Linked DNA regions of Canis lupus familiaris. The protein of the gene in region 6 interacts with the protein of the main gene of each other region in a biochemical or structural test. Links are inferred from orthologs where the notes say so. Each region holds a gene or a part of one and is shown on either strand. Other genes may lie near its edges. The genes, in order: WWTR1, GUCY1A2, DGKZ, SCN5A, SLC16A7, SNTA1 and KCNA5.

What was found.
Region 1: the proteins of SNTA1 (region 6) and WWTR1 interact in a test that uses a peptide from one of them, tested with the Homo sapiens proteins (2 studies listed by IntAct, with this or other methods). The link is inferred for Canis lupus familiaris from reciprocal best matches to the Homo sapiens genes SNTA1 and WWTR1.
Region 2: the proteins of SNTA1 (region 6) and GUCY1A2 interact in a test that uses a peptide from one of them, tested with the Homo sapiens proteins (3 studies listed by BioGRID and IntAct, with this or other methods). The link is inferred for Canis lupus familiaris from reciprocal best matches to the Homo sapiens genes SNTA1 and GUCY1A2.
Region 3: the proteins of SNTA1 (region 6) and DGKZ form a complex in vitro, tested with the Homo sapiens proteins (2 studies listed by BioGRID and IntAct, with this or other methods). The link is inferred for Canis lupus familiaris from reciprocal best matches to the Homo sapiens genes SNTA1 and DGKZ.
Region 4: the proteins of SNTA1 (region 6) and SCN5A interact in a test that uses a peptide from one of them, tested with the Homo sapiens proteins (2 studies listed by BioGRID and IntAct). The link is inferred for Canis lupus familiaris from reciprocal best matches to the Homo sapiens genes SNTA1 and SCN5A.
Region 5: the proteins of SNTA1 (region 6) and SLC16A7 interact in a test that uses a peptide from one of them, tested with the Homo sapiens proteins (3 studies listed by BioGRID and IntAct, with this or other methods). The link is inferred for Canis lupus familiaris from reciprocal best matches to the Homo sapiens genes SNTA1 and SLC16A7.
Region 7: the proteins of SNTA1 (region 6) and KCNA5 interact in a test that uses a peptide from one of them, tested with the Homo sapiens proteins (2 studies listed by BioGRID and IntAct). The link is inferred for Canis lupus familiaris from reciprocal best matches to the Homo sapiens genes SNTA1 and KCNA5.

Annotation. Positions count from the first base shown.
Region 1 is NC_049244.1:44,798,029-44,800,330, forward strand, and holds part of WWTR1 (WW domain-containing transcription regulator protein 1), read right to left. Parts: intron 1,646-2,302; coding exon 1,461-1,645; 3' UTR 1-1,460. UniProt on the Homo sapiens protein: Transcriptional coactivator which acts as a downstream regulatory target in the Hippo signaling pathway that plays a pivotal role in organ size control and tumor suppression by restricting proliferation and promoting apoptosis.
Region 2 is NC_049226.1:25,391,692-25,395,191, reverse strand, and holds part of GUCY1A2 (guanylate cyclase soluble subunit alpha-2), read right to left. Parts: intron 2,004-3,500; coding exon 1,285-2,003; intron 1-1,284. UniProt on the Homo sapiens protein: Has guanylyl cyclase on binding to the beta-1 subunit. Isoform 2 acts as a negative regulator of guanylyl cyclase activity as it forms non-functional heterodimers with the beta subunits.
Region 3 is NC_049239.1:43,525,240-43,528,739, reverse strand, and holds part of DGKZ (diacylglycerol kinase zeta), read left to right. Parts: intron 1-1,649; 5' UTR 1,650-1,668; coding exon 1,669-2,405; intron 2,406-2,741; coding exon 2,742-2,850; intron 2,851-3,269; coding exon 3,270-3,365; intron 3,366-3,500. UniProt on the Homo sapiens protein: Diacylglycerol kinase that converts diacylglycerol/DAG into phosphatidic acid/phosphatidate/PA and regulates the respective levels of these two bioactive lipids.
Region 4 is NC_049244.1:8,568,210-8,571,709, forward strand, and holds part of SCN5A (sodium channel protein type 5 subunit alpha), read right to left. Parts: intron 3,470-3,500; coding exon 3,328-3,469; intron 2,801-3,327; coding exon 2,603-2,800; intron 1,252-2,602; coding exon 1,072-1,251; intron 295-1,071; coding exon 1-294. UniProt on the Homo sapiens protein: Pore-forming subunit of Nav1.5, a voltage-gated sodium (Nav) channel that directly mediates the depolarizing phase of action potentials in excitable membranes.
Region 5 is NC_049231.1:3,690,422-3,694,545, forward strand, and holds the start of SLC16A7 (monocarboxylate transporter 2), read left to right. Parts: upstream 1-1,324; 5' UTR 1,325-1,465; exon of another isoform or gene 1,466-1,713; intron 1,714-2,137; exon of another isoform or gene 2,138-2,190; intron 2,191-4,124. UniProt on the Homo sapiens protein: Proton-coupled monocarboxylate symporter. Catalyzes the rapid transport across the plasma membrane of monocarboxylates such as L-lactate, pyruvate and ketone bodies, acetoacetate, beta-hydroxybutyrate and acetate.
Region 6 is NC_049245.1:23,164,404-23,167,903, forward strand, and holds part of SNTA1 (alpha-1-syntrophin), read right to left. Parts: intron 2,355-3,500; coding exon 2,169-2,354; intron 1-2,168. UniProt on the Homo sapiens protein: Adapter protein that binds to and probably organizes the subcellular localization of a variety of membrane proteins. May link various receptors to the actin cytoskeleton and the extracellular matrix via the dystrophin glycoprotein complex.
Region 7 is NC_049248.1:6,280,333-6,283,763, reverse strand, and holds KCNA5 (potassium voltage-gated channel subfamily A member 5), read right to left. Parts: upstream 2,304-3,431; coding exon 501-2,303; downstream 1-500. UniProt on the Homo sapiens protein: Voltage-gated potassium channel that mediates transmembrane potassium transport in excitable membranes. Forms tetrameric potassium-selective channels through which potassium ions pass in accordance with their electrochemical gradient.

The DNA.
Region 1 (2,302 bases), on a different chromosome or scaffold from region 6:
CTTGGGAATTGAAGGTTCCTCTCAGAGACCTGAACTATTCATGTCTTTCCAAAAAGATATTAAATTCATAGATTATAAATAATGTCAGTTCAAAATATTAAACAATCGAGGACTTCATTGGCAATGCAGACAGAGTTGCATGCCTGGGGGAACCTGATGCTCTCTCTCAGTCCTTAAAAGCTAATAAAAAAAAAATGTTTTTGGTTACATAAGAGGTATTGAGTACATATTTCATGCCTTTTTATACCAACTGTAGCAAACACGGTTAGGATAACATACTTAGGAATCAATTTTGCTGAATTCAGAAACACGTGTCTCCACCATACACCCTTCAGAGGGTTGTTTTTTTTTTTTACACGTCAGTCAGAGATCTGCTTCATCCTTCAAACAGTTTCATAGATAAGAGTATTTTAAACACTTGAAATCTGGAAAGCAAAACTGATAAGGCTTCAGCATTTAAAAAGCAACAGTTTACTGTGTGCGCTGTCAGGTTGGAAGCTATGTTGTCCTGATGTTTTCAGAACAGTTTTCAAAAGACAAAAATACAGTTGCCACTGATTGATCAAAAATATTTGGCTGCCCTTTGTCATCAGCTACAAAATTAGAGTGCTTTTTATAAAATAAACATCAAATTCTAAGCTGCAATTTTTTTAAAAAATCCAACTTGTAATTAAAAAACAAAAGTTTTGTTTAACAAATGCTCATAATTAGTACCAAACTGGTCTCTTTCATAAGATCTGTAAGTGTAGGAACTGTGACTCAGGTTCCTGCTCCTCTCCTGCTGGAAGGAAGAGTTGTCTAGACACTACGCAGTAAAGTAATGAGGAAGGCCAAACTACAATAGGACCATGTGTGCCTTTGCAGATACAGAGTAAAAGAACCATCAGAACCAGCATGGATTCAAAACTACATTGTATTCCATACAGCAGAGATTTACTATCCATACAATGATTTTTAAAGCTCACGTTAAATATTTTTTAAAGCATTTGGTACTACTGTCATTAATACAGTTTTTAAAACTGCAAATCAGGTCTAATTTCGTGTACATTTCCTGGACCGAGCTGCCTGTCACAAGTCACTGCCTGTGGTCGGCTTTTTATGGTTTATAATCAATGGATGCACAAATTTCAACTGACACCCCTAAAGCTTAGTTATGGGGCAGCAGAGAGAAAAACAGAGAAGCAATTCTGCATTCTCAGTTCTGCAGAAGCAATTCTTGCATAGCCCATCACAGGGATGCAGGCCTGCAGAAAATGAAAATAGAGCATTCATTTGCGTTTAACTTAAGTTACTGTCAATCAAATCCAGGCAATGATTAAACTGGCCGCATGGAAAGGAGGGAGCATTGAGTCATGGAGGCAGAAAGTGGTACACCTGCAGACTTACTCTGCTCCATTGCTTTTTCCAAGAGGCCCAGGAAATGTCAGGTCACGGCTGCATCCACGTTACAATGGTATTGATTACAGCCAGGTTAGAAAGGGCTCACTTTTGTTCAGAGCAGACTCTACATCATTGAAGAGGGGGATCAGATCTTCAGATTCCAAAGTTCCTAGGTCAACATTTGTTCCCGGGAGACAATCAAGAAAATCCGGGAAACGGGTCTGCTGAGGATTGATGTTCATGGGTGTCTGTCCTGCATTTTCTCCTATAACAGAACAAAGGAAGATCGTTTTAATTCCGTTTTTTTAAGCTCCTGAAGCATTAACACAACTCTCATCTTCATTTCCACAGTGCTTACATTTAAACAGAAGATTCTATCACTGCAGGTCTAAAATATTTCACCTCTGTGAAAAATTACAGCTACCACCTTCCTAGGATTGAGTTGGTGATCCTCACTCATAAGAGATGCAGAGATGCCGGGTCAATCTTTATTTGTCCCGGAAGACACTGCCCAGAAGGGATAAGCCTAAGATAGGAGAAAAGCACAGGAAGGCCCTGTGGATGGGACCTGTGGTCTATGCCCTCCCATGACAGCTGCATGAAGAGCGGTTTTGTGAAAGAGTAGAGGGCCCCCCACCCCGTAATAAATACCTTATCATCGAGTTATACTCTAAGGACTTAATTGTTAAGCTTATATTTATCCATGTCATTCCTCTTTATGTTCAAAGACAACACTTAGGAGTTTACTTTAACCATGTTATTAAAGAGCTGTCTTCATCGATGGCTCTAGGGATCGTTTTCAAAGTATTTTATAAAGCAAATTCTGCACATCACCCCCTCCCCCGCACGCGTGCGCACGCACACACACACACACCTGGCACCATACAACTATCTACTTTTCTCACAATGTGTACAAGTCACA
Region 2 (3,500 bases), on a different chromosome or scaffold from region 6:
ATTCTTAGACATTTTGAAATCACTGAATTTAAGTGATGAAAAATGATAAATCACAGGACCCAGTCATCCTGAATAAATGGGCATCCTTTCCTATTTCTAAGTATTTTGTTGAAAACTTTTCCATTGAATTTCAAAATTATAAAAATCGGTTCTAAAATGAACACTATATAAAATCCTCAAAAATGTCTTTGGCTCTGCTTTCAGGTTAGTCTCTCGTTTACTTATTATGGCAGGTGTTCCAGAATATGTGATTACTCATTCATTGAGTTTTTAATCATCTCTTCCTTTAGCCCAGAGCAGCCTGTTTATTTCAAAAAGCCACAGCTTTCCCCAAAATGCTTGGGAACAAGCCGAATTGCCTATTAAGAACTTTATTTTCCTCATATAAAATACTGAAAATCTCTACTGGAAGCTGAACACATGTACATTCAAATGTCTACTCGGAAGAACATCATCTATATTACTTATTATTATATTTTAAAATACTGTATTTTCTTTACATTTTATTATTTTAATGTTGATTTCTCCTAAAAGAATTTTTTTTTTACCTAAGGGAACATGTTCGTGTAAACTAATATAAGATTCAGCTTTTAGCTTTTCATTTCTTTGTAATTTATCACCCAGATTTTCCAAAAAGGGATTCAAAGAAATTCACAATAATTCCTCGTGTTCACTGAGTTCTCCAAGCAGTGAGCATGTTATAAAGGAAGGAGTCTGTTTCAATACTAAAATGTATTTAGAAAAGAAGCCCTGAGATTGTCACTTAATTTTCCAACTTTTAGAAAACGTATTATTCTGCAAACTGGGACAAAAATAGGATGTGAACCAGATGTTCCTAGATATGAAGTTTAGAGCAGAGCACAGTCATAGCGGAGCTAGCTTTTCACCCATATTTATTTTAGGAGGAGGCAAGTGGGCCCCACAGTGTGGGATTCAGTCCTACTATTTCTCTTCTAGTTTGACTTCAACTGGTGGAAATATTCATGGGTTTACAGTATCAGGTTTCTAGCGAGTCCTATCATTTTTGTAATTACTATGGCTGGTATTAATAAGCGTCTTCTTTTTACACGCTGAAATAAATTAATGGAAAAGGCAGACACTATGCAAAATGGCTGGGAATAAGGCCAAATCTTTTTACATACATCCAGGGACCAGTGATTTCCTAAATGGCACTTTGAGCTCTCTTGCCTAAATAATTACAAGTACAGCCAGCATGTAATTTACTGAAATAATTATGCACTCCTTTCAGTTCCCATCACCCAGCTCAAGCCCCTGGCCATTTACCTTGTCTTTATTTTCAGTGCCAGAAGCCTCGGGCTTGGTCCTGATCACAAACGGGGTGGACAACCGCAGGAGGACCCTCTCAAAGGTGGCATTCACCCTGGGAGACACTATCTCGAAGCAGTCCTCAAACTTGAGCACTTTGTGAGTGTCACACCGCAGCTGCTTCCGGAGGCCCTCCCCCAGCTGCAGGACTGACATGTGGGGGTCAAACATCAAGTGGAAAGGGAAGGCTCTGCAGAAGGTGCTGATGCTGATTCTGAGGTCCGCAGGGACATGGGAGGTGCCCTGTGCAAGGTTCTTTGTGATGGTGGTATTTTCACATTCTTTGATGAGGAAGGTAAGACAGCTACAATTGCCTGGGTTCGAGCCATCGGAGCACAATTTCTCACTGGCAACCTGTTCCACTTGCAGGTCCAGCCGGTAGATCTTCTTGCCAGCGGCCTTAATCATCCCTGGCATAGCAAACCCCACGACATGGTGAGGATGGAAGTAGTGGAGCACTAGAGTTCCTTCAGGGAGCTCTTTGCATAGGAATGATGGTGACTCCAGAGTGGCCTGTTTTCCAAAAGAAGTTCTAATGTGTTCCAACAAAGCATCAAAGCCATTAAAAAAGTCCTGCAACGTGCCACCCACAGCTCGAAGGACTCTCTCATTCTCATCAAAGCATATATTAAAGAACTCCTCTCCAAATCTTTCTTGAATTTCCTCAAACTTCAAGCCTAGGGGTAAATGGGAAGGAGATGTTAGGGAAGTAACATAAAATCATCATATTTATAGCTTTTAAAAATGCTTATCAAAAAAAATGCTTATCAAATGAGGTAACTAGTGAGTGAGGTAAGAGAGGTACTTCCTTCCCTTTGACCCACATATTCCCAAAGAGATTAATTCATTTTGAATCAGAGAAAGCAAATTTCAATTCATCTTCTAGAAGCTTCTAAGGTGTTAGTGAGCATAAACTTCTTTTAATATTTCTGTTTGTTTTTAAATAGACTTTATTTTTTAGAGCAGTTTTAGATTCACAGCAAAATTGAGGAAAAAGTAAGGATATTTTCCACAGAACCCTCTCCCAGCAAACACACAATCTCACCCTTACCCCAATATCAGTCATCATGCACTATGGTGGTACATTTGTTACAATCAATCACCCTACAATGACACAGAATCATCTCCCAGAGTGGGTAGTTAACACGAGGGTTGACTCCTATTATTGTACATCCTTGGGTTTGGACAAATGCGTTACTATATGTGCCTACCATTATAACATCATACAAAGTAGTTTTGCTGCTGTAGAAATCCTCCGTTCTCTGCCTTTTCATGCCCCACCCCTCTCAACTCCCATAGCACAAACTTTCTAAATGCTGCTCATCTAGCCGCTCATTTTTCTTTTCAATATCCTACTGCATTTGCTATAATCAACACAAATAAGATTTTCTTAATGATTTCCCTCTTAGTTAAAGCAACTTTTTAGAAGCAACTATAACACTGTTTCTCTATTACACCCACCTACTATTACTATCTTACTTATCAAAATTCATTTGTTAAGTGGGAAATACCAACCAGAGAGGGATTTATGGTTACCTGAATGGGGAAAGGCATCAGATTATCTAGTGTCAACAGAAGGACTTAAGTGAGACCCCAGTGAGAGAGAGACCAAACAAGGAAGTAAAATGACAGAACTATGGGCTGATTTGCATTGTTTCACTCACAAAAATGAGACTAGCCAAGGGTGGAGTAGGCATCTCACCAGAAAGAGTTAAAACCCTTTGCTTTCTCCATTCATACTTCCACATGCCATGGCAAAAGGAACTCTATATTATAGCAATGGAATGATAACAAAAAATACATACATACATACATACATACATACACACATACAATACATTATGTAGAAATTAGAGCCAGTCACATGTGATCAAGTTAGATCCACCCTTAAGGATGATCTGAGGAAAAATATGGAGAGAATTTATGGTCCAAAGAGGAAGGATACAGCACATATATAAGAACTGAATGTGTGTGCTGAAGGAAACCTCTACATGGAGTCATTCTACTACTTATCCTTTGACTTTGGCTGAAATCAATACATGTAAGTTTACGTATTCATATTTTCTTGCCTCATCTACTCCATCTTATAAGGAGATCCTGAAGATAAGGCAAGATTGGGAAAAGACAGTGGTCATCTTGCTAGTGTCCTATTAAAGTACAGAGCAGTCTTGGTT
Region 3 (3,500 bases), on a different chromosome or scaffold from region 6:
AGACCAAGAAGAGCCAGGCAGTCTCGAACACTGGTTCCCCAGGCACACTGCCTCCGTTGTTCCCTGGTCACAGGAGCTCAGACACCTTGGCCCTATGTGCCTCTCCCTAAATACCTCTGTACCCATCCAGGGCTTCAGCCTGGCATTGCTTGCCTGGACTCACAGGGTAGTAGCAGATTAAAGAGTGGGTGAGTGGGTGATGGGAGAAACAGGCAGTCGGCACGTAGCTGTGGGCCTGGGTCCTCGAGCCCTGCATCCACCACCGTTTGTCCAAGGCTCCCACCCACCATGCCTGACTTCCTCTAGGCCCTTAGCAGGTGGCCGTATGTCTCTTGCTGGCCCCAGGCAGATGTCCCATGGCTGTGACTTGGACCTCTCTGTGGCTGCCAGGGCCCAAGAGATCACTTGGTGGTGGGATACAGGCCCTGGGCATTCTGGAGGCATCCTCCCTACCCCTGCCCCAAGTATACCTGGCTTCCTGCCCTTCCCCCACTGTTTGGAAGAAGTGAGGGTACAGTAATCCCAGCAGCCTGTAAGAAGGGGCAGCCAGGAGTAGATGAGCTGGCGAAGGAGGCTAAGAATGGGTCAAGGGAGGGTGGTTTGAGTAAGGATAGTCCCCCACAGGAGGGAACTCTGGGTATAGAGTTGGAGCTTCTAGCATTGGTCCCCAGGACACAGTGCAGTTCACAGGCTCCCTTGGCAGCAGGGCTGGAAGGGTTTTCAGACCTCACCCGTCACCTGGTACTTGCACACATGGGAGATCCGTCCTCGGCGTCTCCAGAAAGGTGAGACAGAGCAGTCTAACATCAGGAAAGGGCCTGCTTTTAGCCCCTCAGAGATAGAGATGCACACCCAGAACACACCTGAAGGCTTTCCTCTTGGCTCAGGCCTCTCATAGCTTCCCATGTAGAGTCCCCATGGTTGAGGACTGGGGTGGCTCTCTCCCTGTATAACTCCCCCAGTCTGAGGGCGTTGGTCACCAGAGCCCTTTGATCCCTAAGTCAGATCTTCCCCTTGTCTGGTGCCCAATCTCTGCCTGACCCCACGGTTTGGGGCTGAGTCTAGGGGTCTTATCTGGACTGAATTTCCTTTCAGAGAGCCTCCTTTTATTACCATAGCTTACTTTGTGCCATGTCCCAGGAGGGGACACCTAAACCTAACCTGCTCTCAGTTGGTAGCTAAAAAAAGGCCCAATGAGAGGGCGGGGAAAAAGGCTTCTCCTTGGCCCCTCAGTCTGTAGAAGCCAACTGTACACTGGAACCCAGGACGGTGGGCTTCCAGTTTCCTTTTTTTCTTTTCCATCAGCTTCAGGCAAGGGAGTCAAAGGCCAGGGCTTTGTGGTTTATGATGCCTGGACAGGGGAGCCACATGGGTGGCTGGAAGCCCCTTGTACTCGTTACTCTTGGGGCAGCAGAGGGTATAACTGGGGAGAGCGGTAGTGCTTCCAACAGTGGTGCCTGTGGGCTCCCCTGAGGATTCCGTGGTACCCTCACACGACCTATTTATGGAGGTCAGAGGCCGTGGACCCCTCCTTCTTCCTCCCTGTGTCCCTTCTCTGTTCAAAGGGTAGAGGCCATGACTGGGCTCCAGAGCGTAGGATGGGCCAGAGCCTGGCCCAGCTCCTGATGCTCCCGGTCTCTGCCCAACAGCCCTCCACCTGCCCCTGGCATGGAGACCTTCTTTAGGAGACGCTTCCAGCGGAAGGAGCCAGGCCCCGGGGAGGGGCAGCGGCGGCCCAGCAGCGTGGGGCTGCCCACAGGCAAGGCCCGGCGCCGCTCCCCTGCTGGACAGGCCTCCTCCTTGCTGGCACAGCGGCGCCGCTCCAGTGCACAGCTCCAGGGCTGCCTCCTGAGCTGCGGGGTGGGGGCCCGGGGTGCCAGCCGCCGGCGCTCCAGCACCGCACCTCCTGCCTGCAACCCCCGCTTCGTCGTGAATGAGGTGCCCACCGCACAGCCTGCCACTGTTGGGGCGCAGCTTCTCAGCACACCCTTGCTGTTGGCTGGGCTCATAGGCATGAATGAGGAGGAGGAGGCGTCTCGGGAGGAGGACGTGACAGTTGCGGCATTGAGTGCCACCCAGCTGGGCGCCAGGAGACTGGGCCCCTCCTTGCACCGGGGCACCCTCCTGCCTGTGCCTGGCTGTCTGCGCCGGCGGCGCCGAGCCTCCTCCCACCTGCTCCCTGCTGACGTGGTGTATGACTGTGCCCTCTGGGGCCTGCACGGTTACTATCGACGCCTCAGCCAGCAGCGGGCCCCAGGCCCACACCCCGGCCCTGGGGGCCGAAGAGCCTCAGGCACCGCAGCTGGCGCTCTGCTGCCTGCCCGAGTGCGCCCGCTGTCCCGCAGGCGACAGGTAGCCCTACGGCGCAAGTCGGCGGGACCCCAGACCTGGAGTGCCCTGCTTGCGTAGGTATAGCTGCGGCCGGCAGGGCAGGTGTGCAGACCCCGAGGAGGCTGGCCTGGAGGAGGGACCTCGAGGCTCTACCTGGCCTGAGGGCCCCCTTCTTGGGAATAGCTCTGGATAGTGCCTGGAGGCCAGCCCACCCTCCAAGGGCAATGAGGAGGGCTGAGTCTCCTGCTGGGAACTGCTTAGGTTCCTAGGCTGCTATGGCACGGGTGTTGTAGTCCCTGCCTTGGCCAGGGGTTGAGGTCACGGTGAGGGCAGAGATCGCAGGTAACACGAGGGGAAGGAAGTAGAGTTACCAGGTGCTCAGCTGGCCTCAGCGATCTCCTTTTCTGTAGGAAAGCCATCACCAAGTCGGGCCTCCAGCACCTGGCACCCCCTCCTCCCACTCCCGGGGCCCTGTGCAGTGAGCCAGAGCGGCAGATCCGGAGCACTGTGGACTGGAGTGTGAGTGGCAGGGTGCTGGGAGGGAGGGACAGGTGGGTACCAGCCCCTGCTGGGCTTGGGGGGCTGCTGCGGGAGGAGCCCATGGGCCTTTGGGGTCAGGGCAGACCTCCTGGGGTAGCCCGGTTTGAGCCAAGCCCTCAAGAGCGGGGAGAGTGGGAGGAGCCCCTGGCTGGCTCAGTTGGTAGAGCTTGCAGCTCTTGATCTTAGGGATTGTAAGTTCAAACCCCACGTTGGGTGTAGAGATTACTTAAAATTTTTTTAAATCTTCAAAAAAAAGAAAAATGGGGACAGTGGGGAAACAGGATGGAGCAAAGTAGATTGTGGTGGCTGGTTTATCTTGGGGGAGAGGTGAGTTGGCAGGGCAGGGACTGACGTGCTGGGTAGCAGGTTGCTCTGAGCATGCTCATCTCATGGTCTAGGAATCCGCGACGTATGGGGAACACATCTGGTTCGAGACCAACGTGTCGGGGGACTTCTGCTATGTTGGGGAGCAGTACTGTGTAGCTAAGATGCTGGTGAGTGAGCTCTGGGTGGCATGCTGCCCCCTGCTGGTGGAGCGAGTCTAGAAGCCTATGGACAGACCTGCAGGCCTGACAAGGGAAGATGGGAAGACTCTCACTTGACACCCCTGCTGTGGGCTGCCTGAGGAT
Region 4 (3,500 bases), on a different chromosome or scaffold from region 6:
TGCCCCCAGCAAGGAGACCACCCCGTTGCAGTCCACGGTGCTGTTCCTTTTACCATTGAGGGCGGGAGCCGAGGTCCCTGGACTGAGCTGTCCCTGGGCACTAGGCTGGCGCAGAGGCCAGGGCACCAGTAGGGACGTGCGGTGGCTCTCGCTGTCTCCCGCTGTACTGTTTTCATCATCTGCAAAATCTGTCTCCGAGCCCAGGTCTCGCCTGCGAAAGGTGAAGATGCTCCCACGGCTGGAGCGTGGCTTCACGGAGGTCCTGCTGAGGCCATGTGTGCTGCTCAGGCGATTCTGGGGATACAGGGAGAAGGCACACCACCAAGCCAGCTCTTTATGTGCTCCCAGCCTATCCCCTGTGATGTTCTCGGAGACTGAGAGGTTGTCTCAGAGCAATGAGAGTTTTTTTGTTGTTGTTGTTTTGTTTTTTTAAAGCAGGCTCTGTGCCCAGCAGGGCTTGAACTCATGACCCTGAGATCTAGACCTGAGCTGAGATCAAGAGTTGGATGCTTAACTGACGGAGCCACCCAGGCTTCTGCTGGCCACTCGGGAATTGGGGGCGCTGAGCCAGGGTGTGTTCACAGGAGGGGGTATAGTTGGTCCTGCATCATCTGGGATCTCTGCTCACTTAAAGCTTGTGCCTTTGGGGCTTTGAGATCCAAATTTACCTGGGCCTGAAGCTGTGGCTGTGGCTGGGCAGGAGAAGAAGGAGGCACGAAAGCTTCTGGTGGTGCAAACAGGCCTGGCCTGAGCAGGACCTGGGGCCATCAGCCATGTACTTGACTCAAATGGGTATGTCTTTGGGTGCCTACCAATCTACACCACAGGGTAACCTCTGGTCCTAGCCCCAGCCCCAATGCTGGTGACATCACAACACCCAAACCTAGCTGGTGTCTCTGCCCAGACCTCCTCCACTCCAAGAATGGTCATGGGAAACACGGAGGGCTGGAAGGGGGCTCAAGGATAGTCTCCTTGGGGAGCAACCACGGGGGGCTGCACCAGGGGCCCAACATGATGGGCTTTTGATGCCAGACCCACACTGAAAGGGTCAGAGCCACGGCCGGGGATTACCATTGCTCTGGGACCATCCTCCGAGTCGGACTTGGGGAACCTGTCATCCCCACACTCCTCTGTCCCCGAAGACATTCGTTTTCTCCTCTTGCTTCTTCTCTCATGTGTGGTTACTGGGGCCAAAGGGGACATCTCCAAGGAGCTGCGGGACACAGTGTCCACACCCCTGATGGTGAGGGCCTGGAAAAGGTGGAAGAGGGGTGTTTTGGTTATTGAGACTTTGTGCAGCCTCAGGCTAAGGCAGGCCGAGCAACTCTCAGTATCTCCATTTCCCCATCAGGAAGTAGACTTGCACACTTAACCCCAGACCAGAGTATCATGGAGAGATGAGCTCAAACAGACCCAGCATGTTTTGAAAAGAATCAAAGTCCAGGGAAGAGGAAAGAAGTGGCTGATGTGGGCAGCTCTAGGAAGAGGGGAGTGTGAGGGACAGTTGAGGTGGGAGGATGTTGGTGAGCAGAGGAAGCAACAGAATTAGAGGGCAGGACATCTTCTAGAAGGTTCAGTTGGCCAAAACTGGTGATGGGGGAGGTAGCGTGGGGCAATGAGAAGAAAGTGAATGCCTACATGGCTTCTAACAGCTTGGTCTGTAGTTAGCCTGCAGTACCTGTGTGTGGAGTGATGGGTAACCAGGGCAGCACTGCCAGGGCTTATTTTCCGAGCTGGGTCAGGCTTCCGACCTTGGACCTTCCTCACCAAGCTTCCAGAAGACATCCCTTGACTAGGATAAACTCAGTCCATGGACATGTGGTTCTCTTTTATCCAGCATGCATTAGGTTCCTTTACACAGGAGCTACCACCTTTACCTGGCAGCCACCATTTTTACCCAGCTGGCACTGTTTTCTCTGAGAAGACACCATGGTCATAGGGAACACTTTCCTCAGCAGGCACCACACTCACAGCACCCACTTGCACCCAGTGAGACTTTTACCTAGTAGGTGCCTCATGAACAGGCACTGTCCTTAACCAGGTACCAAATTTTCACCTAGCAGACACTACATTCACATGAAATACTTTAACCCAGTAGACGCCAGCATCGCTCAACAGTAACTGTCTTTTATCCAGTAGATGCCACACGTGAAGGCACCAGCTTTTCCCAGCATGCATCACATGCGCAGACACCTGCTTTACCCGGAATGCATCATACCCACAGACACCTGCTCTACCTGGCATGCGTCACATCTGCAGACACTAGCTTTACCCAGCATGCACCATGCTTATAGGCACCAGCTTTATTCAGCAGGCACCATGCCCACAGGCACCAGGTTTGCCTAGCAAGTAGAAGGTTAATAGGTATCAACTTTACCCAGCAGGACCTGCCTTTTATCTATAGATGCCACACTTACAGATAGCAGCTTTACCCAGCAGGCACCAGCTTTACCCAGCATGTACCAGGTTTGTAGGCACCAGCGTTACGAAGCAGGTGTCATCCCCATAGGCACCAGCTTTGCCCAGCAGGCACCAGGTTCATAGGCAGCCAGAATCAGGTGAGGACTTGCTTTGGAGGCTCCTTGGCTGCATGCTCACTCACCTCATGCTCTTTCTTGAGCATCTCCATGGCCTCCTGGAAGCGCTTTTCCTTCTCCTCTGTCTCAGCAATGGTGGCTTGGTTTTGTTCCTCGTAGGCCATGGCAACCACAGCCAGGATCAGGTTCACCAGGTAGAAGGAGCCCAGGAAGATGACAAGCATGAAGAAGATCATATAGATCTTCCCTGCAGACCTCAGGGTCTGGGGGAGTAAGGCAACAGAGGTTATCTTCACTGGGGCCCTTTCTGGGTCATGGTCATGGTCTTGGAATTTCAAGTTGTCCAGTCAGGCTACGCCAAGAGTTCAAATGGCCACAGCTTGGGGAGGAGTAGAGCATATCCTGCCTATAGAGGTAAGTATTCTAACCCATAGAAAAGAATGACCTACATGCAGAGGATAGTGTCCCATCCATGGAGGGAGGCAGAATGTTCCAGTCGACAGAGGAAATGTTGCATGCATAGAGGCAACTATTCCATCATATAGGGCAGAGAAATGTCCTACTCACAGAGCACAGTGAGCCCCATACAGAGGGAAGGGTACTTGGTTACCAGCAAGAAGTTTCTTTGCTTGCTGTTCCCATTCCTCAGATGCAAGGGTTCCTGTCCCTTATTCCTTGAGCCTCCCCAGCTCTTGCCAGTGGAGAAGCTGCTGGGGCCTCTAGCTAATCACCTGTGCATCCTGGTCCCTAGCCAGTTCCTGGTGTTCCTCCCGCCCATGCACCCATGTACCTGCTGGTAGAGGCGCTCCCAGCAGTCCTGTGTCATTAGGCGGAAGAGCGCAAGGAAGGCCCAGGCAAAGGAGTCAAAGCTGGTGTAGCCGTGGTCAGGGTTCTCCCCTGCCTTTAGGCACCGGTAACCCTCGGGACATGTCCTGCAGTCAGACACACAGACTCTGTCCCCTG
Region 5 (4,124 bases), on a different chromosome or scaffold from region 6:
TCTCTAAATTGTTTTCTCTTCTCAGCTTCTGGATAATATTAAGACTATAAGTCATAGGATAAATTGACTGGATTTATTCCCACCTAATTCTCCTTTCAGCTTCCTTTCTAATACAATCAAATATTTATGTAGCATGACTAGCCATAGCAATAAGGCAATTTAAAGATGAATCCTCAAATACTAACACTGGGGTAGTAGGTAAATTGGATCCAGAGTTTTAATTGTTGGAAAAACAAGACTTAAAAGAAAACTACAGTTATGATTCATGCATTCATGCATGCTAGTTAGTGACGTTTAGGAATCTGACAATGAGTTAAATAGACCAAGAACATGGGTCTGTAAAAACAAGCAAACAAATACAGAAAAAAAAAAAAAAAAAAAAAAGAGAGAGAGAGAGAGAGAGAGGGAGAAAAAAAAATCAAAAAGAAAGTAGAGAATAGGGTCAAAATTCAGGAAAGTTTTGGTCTTCTTTCTCTTCTTTGGAAGGAAATGAGTAATGAATGAGCAGGAAAAATGTCAATAGCAAACACTCAAGAACATGACCTGGAGATGTGTCTTACTTAGTGTTTTCTTTTCAAACTTTAACATTATTTTTTCTTATGAAAATGAAGTGTCTATAGTCACTGTTAGACATTCTATTACTCTCGTATGCCTATCACATTTTATATAAATGTCATTTTACACATTTTTAGTCCAAGAAAAGCTAGTCCTTTCTGGAATTTTCTGCCTTAGTTCCTTAGTTTCCAACATCACTCCCTCTGTAAAATGTCTTCCAAACTCCCAAACTTCCAAGCTCCCTCTGTAAACTGCCTAATAATAGGCAACATTTATTCACTCATATTATCTACCATCTACTACACATGTATCATCTCACCTAAATCTTACGACAGCAATAATGGGTTGATATTGCTTCTATTTTGTAGCTACAGAAACTACCATTCCAGTTTTGTAATAAGCCCACAAACCAGCTGTGGCCGAAGCAAGGCAATGTGAATTTAGCTAAGTGACTTAATTTGTGAAGGGGGGCAGATAATGCCACCCCGAAATATGCCACTTTGGCACAGTGATTATTTTGAATTAAAGTTACTTGGGAAACAGCCAGTGCCAGGAGGACACTCTGAGCACCCCCCCCCCCACCCCTCCCCACCCCTGCCTTTGTCCCCCTGAAAAGAGATGTGTGTGTAACGTAGGTGAGGGTCTGCTAAGTCGCCAGAAACAGGGCAACAGGAATTCGCAAGTTCAAGCCCGCGTTGCTTTAAAGGTTCCTTTTTGTGTGAGCAGGACTTCAGCTGTGAAGACATTTAAGGAACCTGATCTCTGGTGTCACCAAACGTTCAGTCCCAGCCCTTCCTCTTTCCGGCTGCCCCAAGAGTGTTCTGGACGGTGGAGGAAGGAAAAAGAGGGCAGAGGAAACCAGACCGACGGTTGTGGAATTGGCGCGAGCCCGGGCACGGCTCGTGGGCAGGTCGGACTCGCCCTTGGCGGAGTGAAGGGATTCGGGGGCTACGATGCAGCGGCCGGTGCACGGGCGCTTTCCTTCGCCTCTTTCCTGGTTCGGGGTCTTCTTGCACTAGTTTTTGTGCCCCGCGCCCCACGGGGTGAGGGTTAGGTTTCCCTTAGGTGTCGTGGTGGGGGGCCCCATCCCCAGCACTGCCGCTCCTCCCCGCGCCCGGGAACACCTCGGTCCCAACGGCGGCCCCCGGACACCTCCACGGCCGGGACGGGATGTCCGACCCCCGCCCCCCCGCGCCTCCCTCGCCCCCCACCCCCCGCGCAGCCCCCTCCCCTCCGCGCCCCCCCGCGCATCCCTCCCCCCACCCCCCGCCCCCCGCCCCGCTCGCGGGCTCCCCGCCTAGCTCGCTGCCGCCCCCAGCTACGCCCCGGAGTCCCCGCGCCCCGGGCCCGCGTCCGCGGGGGCACAGCCGCGGGGAGCATGCTCAGTCGGCCCCGAGTCGCGGGGCGGGGCGGGGCTCCCCCTTCCCCTCCCCCCTCCCCCCGCGCGCTCCCGGGCACCCACTGGGGCGCTCTCGGGCCGCGCCTCCCTCCGCCTCCCCCCCGCCCCCCCGGGCCGCGGGGCGAGGACGAGTCCAGGGACATAAATAAATAAATAATTCCATCCACGCGGTGGCGGCGCGGCGAGCCGGCGGCGGCGGGGGCGGCGGCGCCCCGGGGTGCGGGACGGCGGGTGAAGTAAGTGCCGCGGGCGCGGGGAGGGGAGGGGGAGGGGAGGGGGGAGGGGAGGGGAGGGGCGCGGGGGCGCGCCTCCGCGGGGCCGCACGCCTGGGTCAGGGCAGCGCCCCGGGGCCCCGCGGAGGCACAGCCCCGGTCCCCGGGCGGCCGCGGGAGGGCGCGCAGGGCAGGGGCGCGCAGGGCAGGGCGCCGAGGGGCCCCGGGCGGGGAGCGGGGGACGGCGGGTCCCGTGCGGGCCGGGGCAGCCCCGGGCGCGGCGGCGGCGGGGAGCGGCGGTGCAGGGCGGGGGGGGGGGGCGGCAACGGGGCGGAGGCGTCGCGGTCCCCTCCGGCTGCAGAGCGGGGCGCGGGGGGCCTGCGTGGGGCGGAGGGAGCGCGGCCGCGACCTGACGGGCTGCACACGGCCTCGGCGGGGGCGGCCGGGGCGGGCCGCTTTCCGGGGGCTGCGGGGTTTGGGGTCTACTGCGGGGATGTGGAAGTCGCACACGCGCGCACGCGCACACCGAGGAAGCGAGCCGCGGTTTCCCCGCAGGTGACTCCGCCAGGAGCAGAGGCGCCCAGTGGGTTGGGTCGAGGGAGGCCGCTGGTGTTTGCAGGAGAGCTCGTAGCCTACGTCCTCGCCCCCCTTCCCGGTCCAACAAGAGGCGCCGTGGAGCCGTAGGAGAGTGAGCCCGGGTGAGGGCAGCAGCCTGGGGGGCCCGGCGGGGACGCGGGACGCCCTTCCCTGGCGCCGCTGCCTTGGCCGCACGCAGGTGAGCGCAGAAGCGCTGCAGACCTCGGGGTGATCTCCGGGAGCCTCCAGCTCCAAGCGTGCATTTCCAGGGAGCGGGGCTGAGACCCAGGGCTGAGACCCAGAGCCCGAGGGGGGTTGCAGACCGTGGAAGAGGGAGCCAGGAGGTCAACAAGGTGACCCTTCTGGGCTCCTCCTAGAGCGATCGCAGCTCCACTTTGTGCTTCTGAACACACTGCCCTGAAAGCAATCTAAGCGGGCAGGCAACCGAGTGATTCAGTGAAAGGGAAAGATTATTACCTTAAGCAACTCGGTGTGTTGTGTAACAACTCATAAAGTCAGAGGCGGTTGGGGCTTTTTTTTTTTTTCCCCCAAAACTCACATCAGCAGTTTGCAGTTACATACTGCTTTTCCCCCCAGGGAGTGTTTTAATAATGGTAAGTGATCTGGAGTTTTAACGTTGGTTTCCCAATATTCAAGCTCTTGAATCCTCCCATAAATGCTCAGCCTCTTTCTGGAGACGCATGGACTCTTTTATAATATCTGGCTTACATTTTCACCCGGGAGCCCTCCTGAAGGGAAGAAGGGCAGACTGACCTATAGAAATATCTTTTATCCAGAGTCATATTCCTGGATCATGAGTCTGGAATAAAAGGAGACTCTTGCATTTACTTTTACGTCTCTCTTCATTCACTAAACTTTTTTTTTTTTGAGACATTCAGAGTTAGACACAGACTTCAAGGTCAATTTCGTACTTTTGTAAGGTTAAGTAATTATTTAACAATCTCCTCCTCGGTTTTTCTTATCCCTACAATGTGGTTGGTGCTACCTACCCTAAAGTGCTATTATGAGGAATAACATATAGAGAAAACAGCTAAAATACAGACTAGCAATTTTTGAACCCCTTGCACCATTCCAGACACTGCACTGTGGTTATCAAGATGGATGAGGCTGACATTCCGCTCTCAAAAAATTCACATGTGGCCATCCGGGTTAATCTTCCTCCTATACTTTTGTTGTTGTCAAAAAAATTAAAAGTTTTTATTTAAATTCCAGTTACTTAACGTACAGTGTAATATTAATTTCACGTGTATAATATAGTGGTTCTACACTTTCATACAACACCCGGTGCGCATCACAATATCCTATTAGCTTTTTACCAATTTCCTTCTCAATGGAGCAAAGGAGACATATATCCTACTAAC
Region 6 (3,500 bases):
TCTAGGGATCCCTGGGTGGCGCAGCGGTTTGGCGCCTGCCTTTGGCCCAGGGTGCGATCCTGGAGACCCGGGATCGAATCCCACGTCAGGCTCCCGGTGCATGGAGCCTGCTTCTCCCTCTGCCTGTGTCTCTGCCTGTCTCTCTCTCTGTGACTATCATAAATAAATAAAAATTAAAAAAAAAATACTCTGGTCTAATCCCAACCTATAGGGAGACTGAGGGCCAGAGAAGGCAAGGGTCTTACCCAAGGCTAGAGATTCATCACAGAGCAGACAGATTTTAGAAACTGATTTTTAAAGAGTTTGTATGAACAAGACTCTCCTCCACCAGATAATGAGCTCTTTCAGGAGAAGGCCTGGGTCTGATTTAGCTTCTGACCCTGTGCTCTGCACACCAGGTACATAGTAGGTGTCTATAAATGTTTCTTGACTTAGTAAGGAAAGAATGGAGTACAAGAATGATACAGAAGGCTTGGGTGTTAGCTCCTGAAACCAGAAGCCTCAAGCTTTCAACACTCAGAGACGCTGTCTTCTCAGAATGACCCATGCTGAGAACCCAGATAGACATTCTCAACCTAAAGACGAGAAGATGAGGGGGATCTCAGTGTGCATTAGAATTGTGTCTACAGTAGAAATCTTACCATCTACAGGTTAAACTTTCAAACAGCATAAACTAAAAGATCTTCTCAAGTCAACCAAAATATAACATTTTGATGAGTTTCAACTGCATTACCAGCAATAAATATCAAAGTAATGAGGCATGGGGTGGGGAGAGTCTTTTATATCCATATCATCTCTCAGTGATCTTGTTATTTAACTTTGCTGTTAAAATATGACTGTTATACTTAAGCTTCAAGGACCAATACCACAGAGTTGACTTTTTTTTTAAGTATATATTTTAAAAATGCACCACTGTCACTTAAAGAGGTACACAAAAATGTAAAAAATAAAACAAAACCAAGAGAGAACTGAGGTCAGGGCCATAACACACCAAAGATCACCCAAAGCCTGTTTGTTTCCGTGGCCTCTTGGAGACCTGTTTGGGGAAACAAAGGCAATCTATCAGGATCCAGGCCTGGGGCTCAGCTCAGCAGCTACACTAGCCATGGCATTCTCCATCAGCCCCCGCCATCTCCCTGTGCCTGTTCTGGGCCTAGAGCCAAACACACATTCCTCGGGCCCCCACAGCTTCCGGAATTGATAGAGGGGAGTTTGAAGAAAGGGCTGAGCAAAGCAGAAACCTCCTAAGAGAGATAGCAAAAGGCAGATGAGGGACAGCCACAGCAAGAGGCTATCACAATCGATGGGGAAACCAAGGCCCAGAGAAGATAAAGGTATTGTCCAAGACCACATAGTGTGAGCATAGTGGAGGAGAACCACAAAGCCCCCCATCAAAACTCCTCTCTGATCCTTGCTGGAAGGATCTGATGTTCTGCAACATAAAGGTCAAGTCTTCTCCCACAGGAGGATGGGTCTCAGGGTTTCAGGGTCCCTGGAGCTAGGAACTCTCCAGTTTCCTCAAGAGAGAATATTAGCTGCTCCTTCCCCAGTCTCTGTCCCTCTCCTTCCCTGATTCACTCACTGAGTGGCAGATCCTGCCATGTACCTTTTGTCCTGAACACACAACCCAACAAAACAGAAGTGTTACATCCCTGGTTTTTGTTTTGTTTGGGTTTTTTTGTTTGTTTGTTTGTTTGTTTTAAATACTTTATTTATTTGACAGAGAAAGAGAGACTCAGAGAGCATGGGAAGTGGCAGGCAGAGGGAGAGGGAGAAGCAGGCTCCCTGCTGAGCAGAGCCCAATGCAGGACTCAATCCCAGGACCCTGGGATCATGACCCGAGCCAAAGGCAGACACTTAACCGACTGAGCCACCCAGGTGCCCCCACATCCCTGTTTTATAGATGAAGAAATTGAAACTCAGGGAAATGAAATGACTTGTCCAAGTCTACAGAGCTAATGAATGGGGGAGAAAAAATGAAAACTAGATCTGTCTGGCTCTATACCGGCTCTCCCACCACCACCCTGTACTGTGTCAAAGCAGGTCCCCATGTACAGCTTCTGTTTTCAACCCTGCTCACCTCTCAGTCCCCATTGCTGGACTGGGGCTACTTAAGGCCTAGAGGAGGCAGGAGACAATTGAACACCCGTAGGGTCCCCAGTGCTTACCCTCCAGCACCACCTCTTTGCCTGTCTTCTTCAAGACCTGCACCGCCTCATCATGGGTAGCAGAGGAGAGATCCTCCCCATTCACAGACAAGATGGCATCTCCCACGAAGAGGGCCTCAGTCTGGTCAGCTGCCAGGCCCTTGAAGATCTTGGAAATGAGAATAGGCATCTTGTTCTCCCGGCCCCCTGCATGGGCACAGAAACAGGAAGAGACTGAAGCAGATGCTCCAATGCTTAAGAGTCCCACGAAGGCAAAATTATTTCTGAAAGCCTACCTCGGCGCCCAGCCCAGTGCCAGGAAAGCGGGGATGAGAGAGTAAAGAGAATCTCAGAAAGGAGTCTTACAAGTCTGGAACACTAATAAGTCATTTTCTAAATTCTTTTTTTATTTTATTTTATTTATTTATTCATGACACAAACACACAGAAAGAGGCAGAGACATAGACAGAGGAAGAAGCAGGCTCCCTGTGGGGGGCCTAATGCGGGACTCAATCCCAGAACCCCAGGATCACACCCTGAGCCCAAGGCAGACACTCAGCCACTGAACCACCCAAGTGTCCCTCGTTTTCTAAATTTTTTTATGTATATATTTTTTATTGGAATCAATTTGCCAACATATAGTATAATACCCAGTGCTCATCCTATCAAGTACCCCCCTCAGTGCCTATCACCCAGTCACCACAGTCCCCCACCCAACCCCCCTTCCACTACCCCTTGTTTGTTTCCCAGAGTTAGGAGTCTCTCATGTTTTCTCACTGTCTCTGATTTTTCCCACTCATTTTCTTTCCATTTTCTAAATTCTTAATGGAGTTTGGTCACTGGATCATTGGTTAAATGCTTTGGGTGTTCGCCCGTGTTTGAGTAACTTACAAGTGCTTCGATAGCTTTTTCTTAAATATTTAATATTTTAAGTTATTTTCCCCACAACGGGGGAACCCACTGATACCACTTAATCTGGAGTAAAGATAGAAATCAGTTATTGCTATGGCCCCCCAAGGACCTCTTCACAATTGGAAAGTTTTACAATCCAGGACCCAGCTGAAAACCAAGGCCTGAAAGTCTAGATTTCAAAAGCCTATCCAGATTGCATCTCTGATGCAAAAAAAAAAAAACTTAATACAACTTACTGAATCACTTTATGGCTGAGATCTTGAATATCCTTTTAAAACATAAAATAGGGACACCTGGGTGGCTCAGCGTTTAGCACCTGCCTTCAGCCCAGGGCATGATCCTGGAGTCTCGGGATCAAGTCCCACACGGGGCTCCCTGCATGGACCCTGCTTCTCCCTCTGCCTGTGTCTCTGCCCCTCTCTGTGTGTGTCTCCCATGAAT
Region 7 (3,431 bases), on a different chromosome or scaffold from region 6:
CCCTCTTCCATAAATACAGCATTTCTGGAAAATGTATCCAAAATATCTCCATCTGAACTACAGTACAAAAATCCACTCACCAGCCATAAAAATAATATTTTCCCCTATACACAAATAAAATCATATGTAAAGCAAATTTGGAACACATGGAGGGGGTTACAAAATCCCTTGGGATCTTGGCTATTTAAAGTCATTTTTTGTTTGGGTTATCCCTCTGCTGGGTATAGGGAACTGGCTACAAATACATCCATTTCGTAGTGCTCACCATTTCAACAGCTCCTGCGTCATGGAATGTGGTACTTTTTAAAAATAGGCGACCCTTGGTGTCATGGAAAGAAGAGGAAAAATGGGGGATCAAGGGAGGGAGGGAAGGAGAGAAGTCTAAAGAGGGACAGACTTCAAGGTGGGCTTGAAATACTCCGTGGTATAAAGTCAGTACCCCGGCTCAGGAGGTCTCTGCTATCCCCACCCCACTACCACCACTCTGCCGGGGCTCCCCCTTACAAATCCGTTTCCCGACTCGTGTCCAGGCAGAGGGCATAGAGGGATCGCCGCAAGTCCACATTGCTTTTGGCCTTGAGGTTACACTTCTCCAGGGGGCAGCTGCCCCTTCGGGCTCCGTCTGCATTCTCCAGGGACACTCCAGCCTTGCACAGGGACCCCTTGCTCCAGCTGGTCTTCCGAGGGCCTCCGCTGTCCAGCCCTGTCCCCTGGCTCTGGCTGCCCTGCTCTTCCTTCAGAGCGGCCTGCTCCTCGTGGTCCGTCTCCCGGTGGTAGAAGTAGTTGAAGTTGGAGACAATGACGGGCACAGGCAGGGCGATGGTGAGGACCCCGGCGATGGCACACAGCGAGCCCACGATCTTGCCCCCCACAGTGACAGGCCTCATGTCCCCATAGCCTACCGTGGTCATTGTGACGACTGCCCACCAGAAGGCGTCCGGGATGCTGGAAAAGTGGGTCTCCTGGTTGTCAGCCTCTGCGAAGTAGACGGCACTGGAGAAGAGGATGACCCCGATGAAGAGGAAGAAGATGAGCAGGCCCAGCTCCCTCATGGAGGCCTGCAAGGTCTTGCCCAGGATCTGCAGCCCCTTGGAGTGGCGGGAGAGCTTGAAGATGCGGAACACCCGGACCAGGCGGATCACTCTGAGGATGGCCAGGGACATGGCCTGCTGCCCATTCTGGCCACCCCCTCCCCCGCCTGGCTGTTGCTCGGCCAGCTCGGTGCCCAGGGTGATGAAGTAGGGGAAGATGGCCACCACGTCAATGATGTTCATGATGTTCCGAGAGAACTCCGCCTTGCTGGGGCAGGCGAAGAAGCGCACGAGCAGCTCGAAGGTGAACCAGATGACGCACGTGGTCTCTACGATGAAGAAGGGGTCAGCCAGGGTCCGCGGCAGGAGAGGCGCCACCGTGGGGCCCGAGGCGGGCGCCAGGGCCGCGCTGCCGTTGGTCCCCCGGGCGGGCCCAGGGGGGTGGGGGGGCCCCGGGGGATGGCGCAGCAGCTCGCGCTCGTCCCGGAACTCGGGCAAGGTCTCCAAGCAGAAGGTGATGATGGAGATGAGAATGACCAAGACCGAGACGATCGCGATGGCCCTGGCGGACCCGGAGCTTTCCGGGTACTCGAAGATAAGCCACACCTGTCGCTGGAACTCGTTGCGGGGCAGCGGCTTCTCCTCCTCCTTGATGAAGCCCTCGTCCTCGCGGAAGCGCTCCAGGGCCTCGTCCCCCAGCTGGTAGAAGCGGATCTCATCGGCGAACACGTCCAGCGAGACGTTGACCGGCCTCCGCAGGCGGCCCCCGGACTGGTAGTAGTAGAGGATGCCGTCGAAGCTGGGCCGGTTGCGGTCGAAGAAGTACTCGTTCCGCAGGGGGTCGAAGTAGCGCAGGCGCTTGGCCGGGTCCCCCAGGAGGGTGTCGGGGAACTGCGCCAGGGTGCCCAGCTGCGTCTCGAAGCGCAGCCCGGAGATGTTGATGAGGACGCGCTGGTGGTGAAAGGACCCCGAGCCCGGGCCCGGCACCTGGTCCTCCGCCAGGCCCAGGGCGGGGTCGCCGTCTCCCTCCTCGTCCTCCGGGGGCAGCCGTCGAGGCAGAGGCAGCGCTGGCAGAGGCCGCGCTCCGGGGTCCGCTCCCCTCGGCGGGCCGCGCTCCCTGGGCTCCCGCTCCTTGGGGCCGGCGCCGCGCGCAGCCGTCGGGGGGCACTGGAGCTCCCCCCCTACGGCCTGGCCACAGCCTGCCCGGGCCTCACCTCCTCCCCTGACGGTCATGGCCCCGCCGTTCTCCAGGGGCACCAGGGCGAGCTCCATGGCCGGGGGGCAGGGGGCATGCTGCGCCCCCACTGACCGGCGTCCGAGCCCCCGCTCGCGCCCGGCTGGGCGCCTTGCGTGGCTCAGGCTCTTCTCCAGCCGTCGGCCGGCCTCCCTGCGGGGCGGGCTGGGGCTGCTGGCGCGATCCCCGGGCTCGGCCCTGACGTCAGGAAGCTGCTGCCCTGCTCGCTGCCTCGCTCTCCGCTCTCCGTTCCGGCAGCCCGTTACCAGGCAGCCAAAAGCCTCCTTCCAGCAGATGCAACCTTCAGCCGCCCCTCTCTGGCTGCGGGGCGGCGCTCGGCCTCGGCCTCCACCCAGCGCGGCTCTCCCGCCTCTTCCCTACCCCGCCCCGTCCCCTCCCCTCCTCCTTCCCCCGCGTCCCCTCCTGGGTCTCCAGCAGCGGGTGTCTCCCCGGAGGGAGGGCACGGCTGGGGCCTGGGGCGACTGGGGGGGGGGGGTGTGGCGGAGAAGGGAGCAGCCTGGAGGTGGGGGGAGGGAGGGGGGGGAATGAGAGGCTGAAGGAACAGGTTGTACCGACAGCGCCAAAACTCCCAGGGCAACCAGATGAGAATAGCTGTGGATTTCAGTTCACCTGGGAACCCGCTGAACGCCAAGTGGACTCCAGGGGAAATGAACTGCCTTGGGTTGGACGGATGAGACATGAAATAACAGCCCTTTTACAATCCTCCTTTGGAGGAGTAACTAACCATTCCATCTTCTTGGGGAAGAATTATGGACAAGAAGAGGCTGGGCAGAGCTATGGGCCCTGGGGATCTATAGATCTAGAGATACCTAGGGCTGGAGATACCTCCAGACCAAGGTGTAGAAGCCTCTCTCTTCCCACCCAAAGGTAACCGGCTGACAGCTGGCAGTGACCCCCTGCCATAGCCCTGGGACAGCCCTGATTCGCAGTCCAGAGAGTCATGGCCCGTGGGACAAATTCACTGCCTGGTCTCCTATTCCTGAGGACATATAACTCCTCACTCTGCATAAATCCGGTTTGCAAAATCCAGTAAGAGAGAAAGAGAGGAAGAGAGCTGTTCTCCGGTGAAGTTTGGAGCTGGCAACTGCAGCTTTGTGTGTGTGTGGGGGGGGGGGGGGGCGGGGGGGTATGTAGGGGGCAGGAGT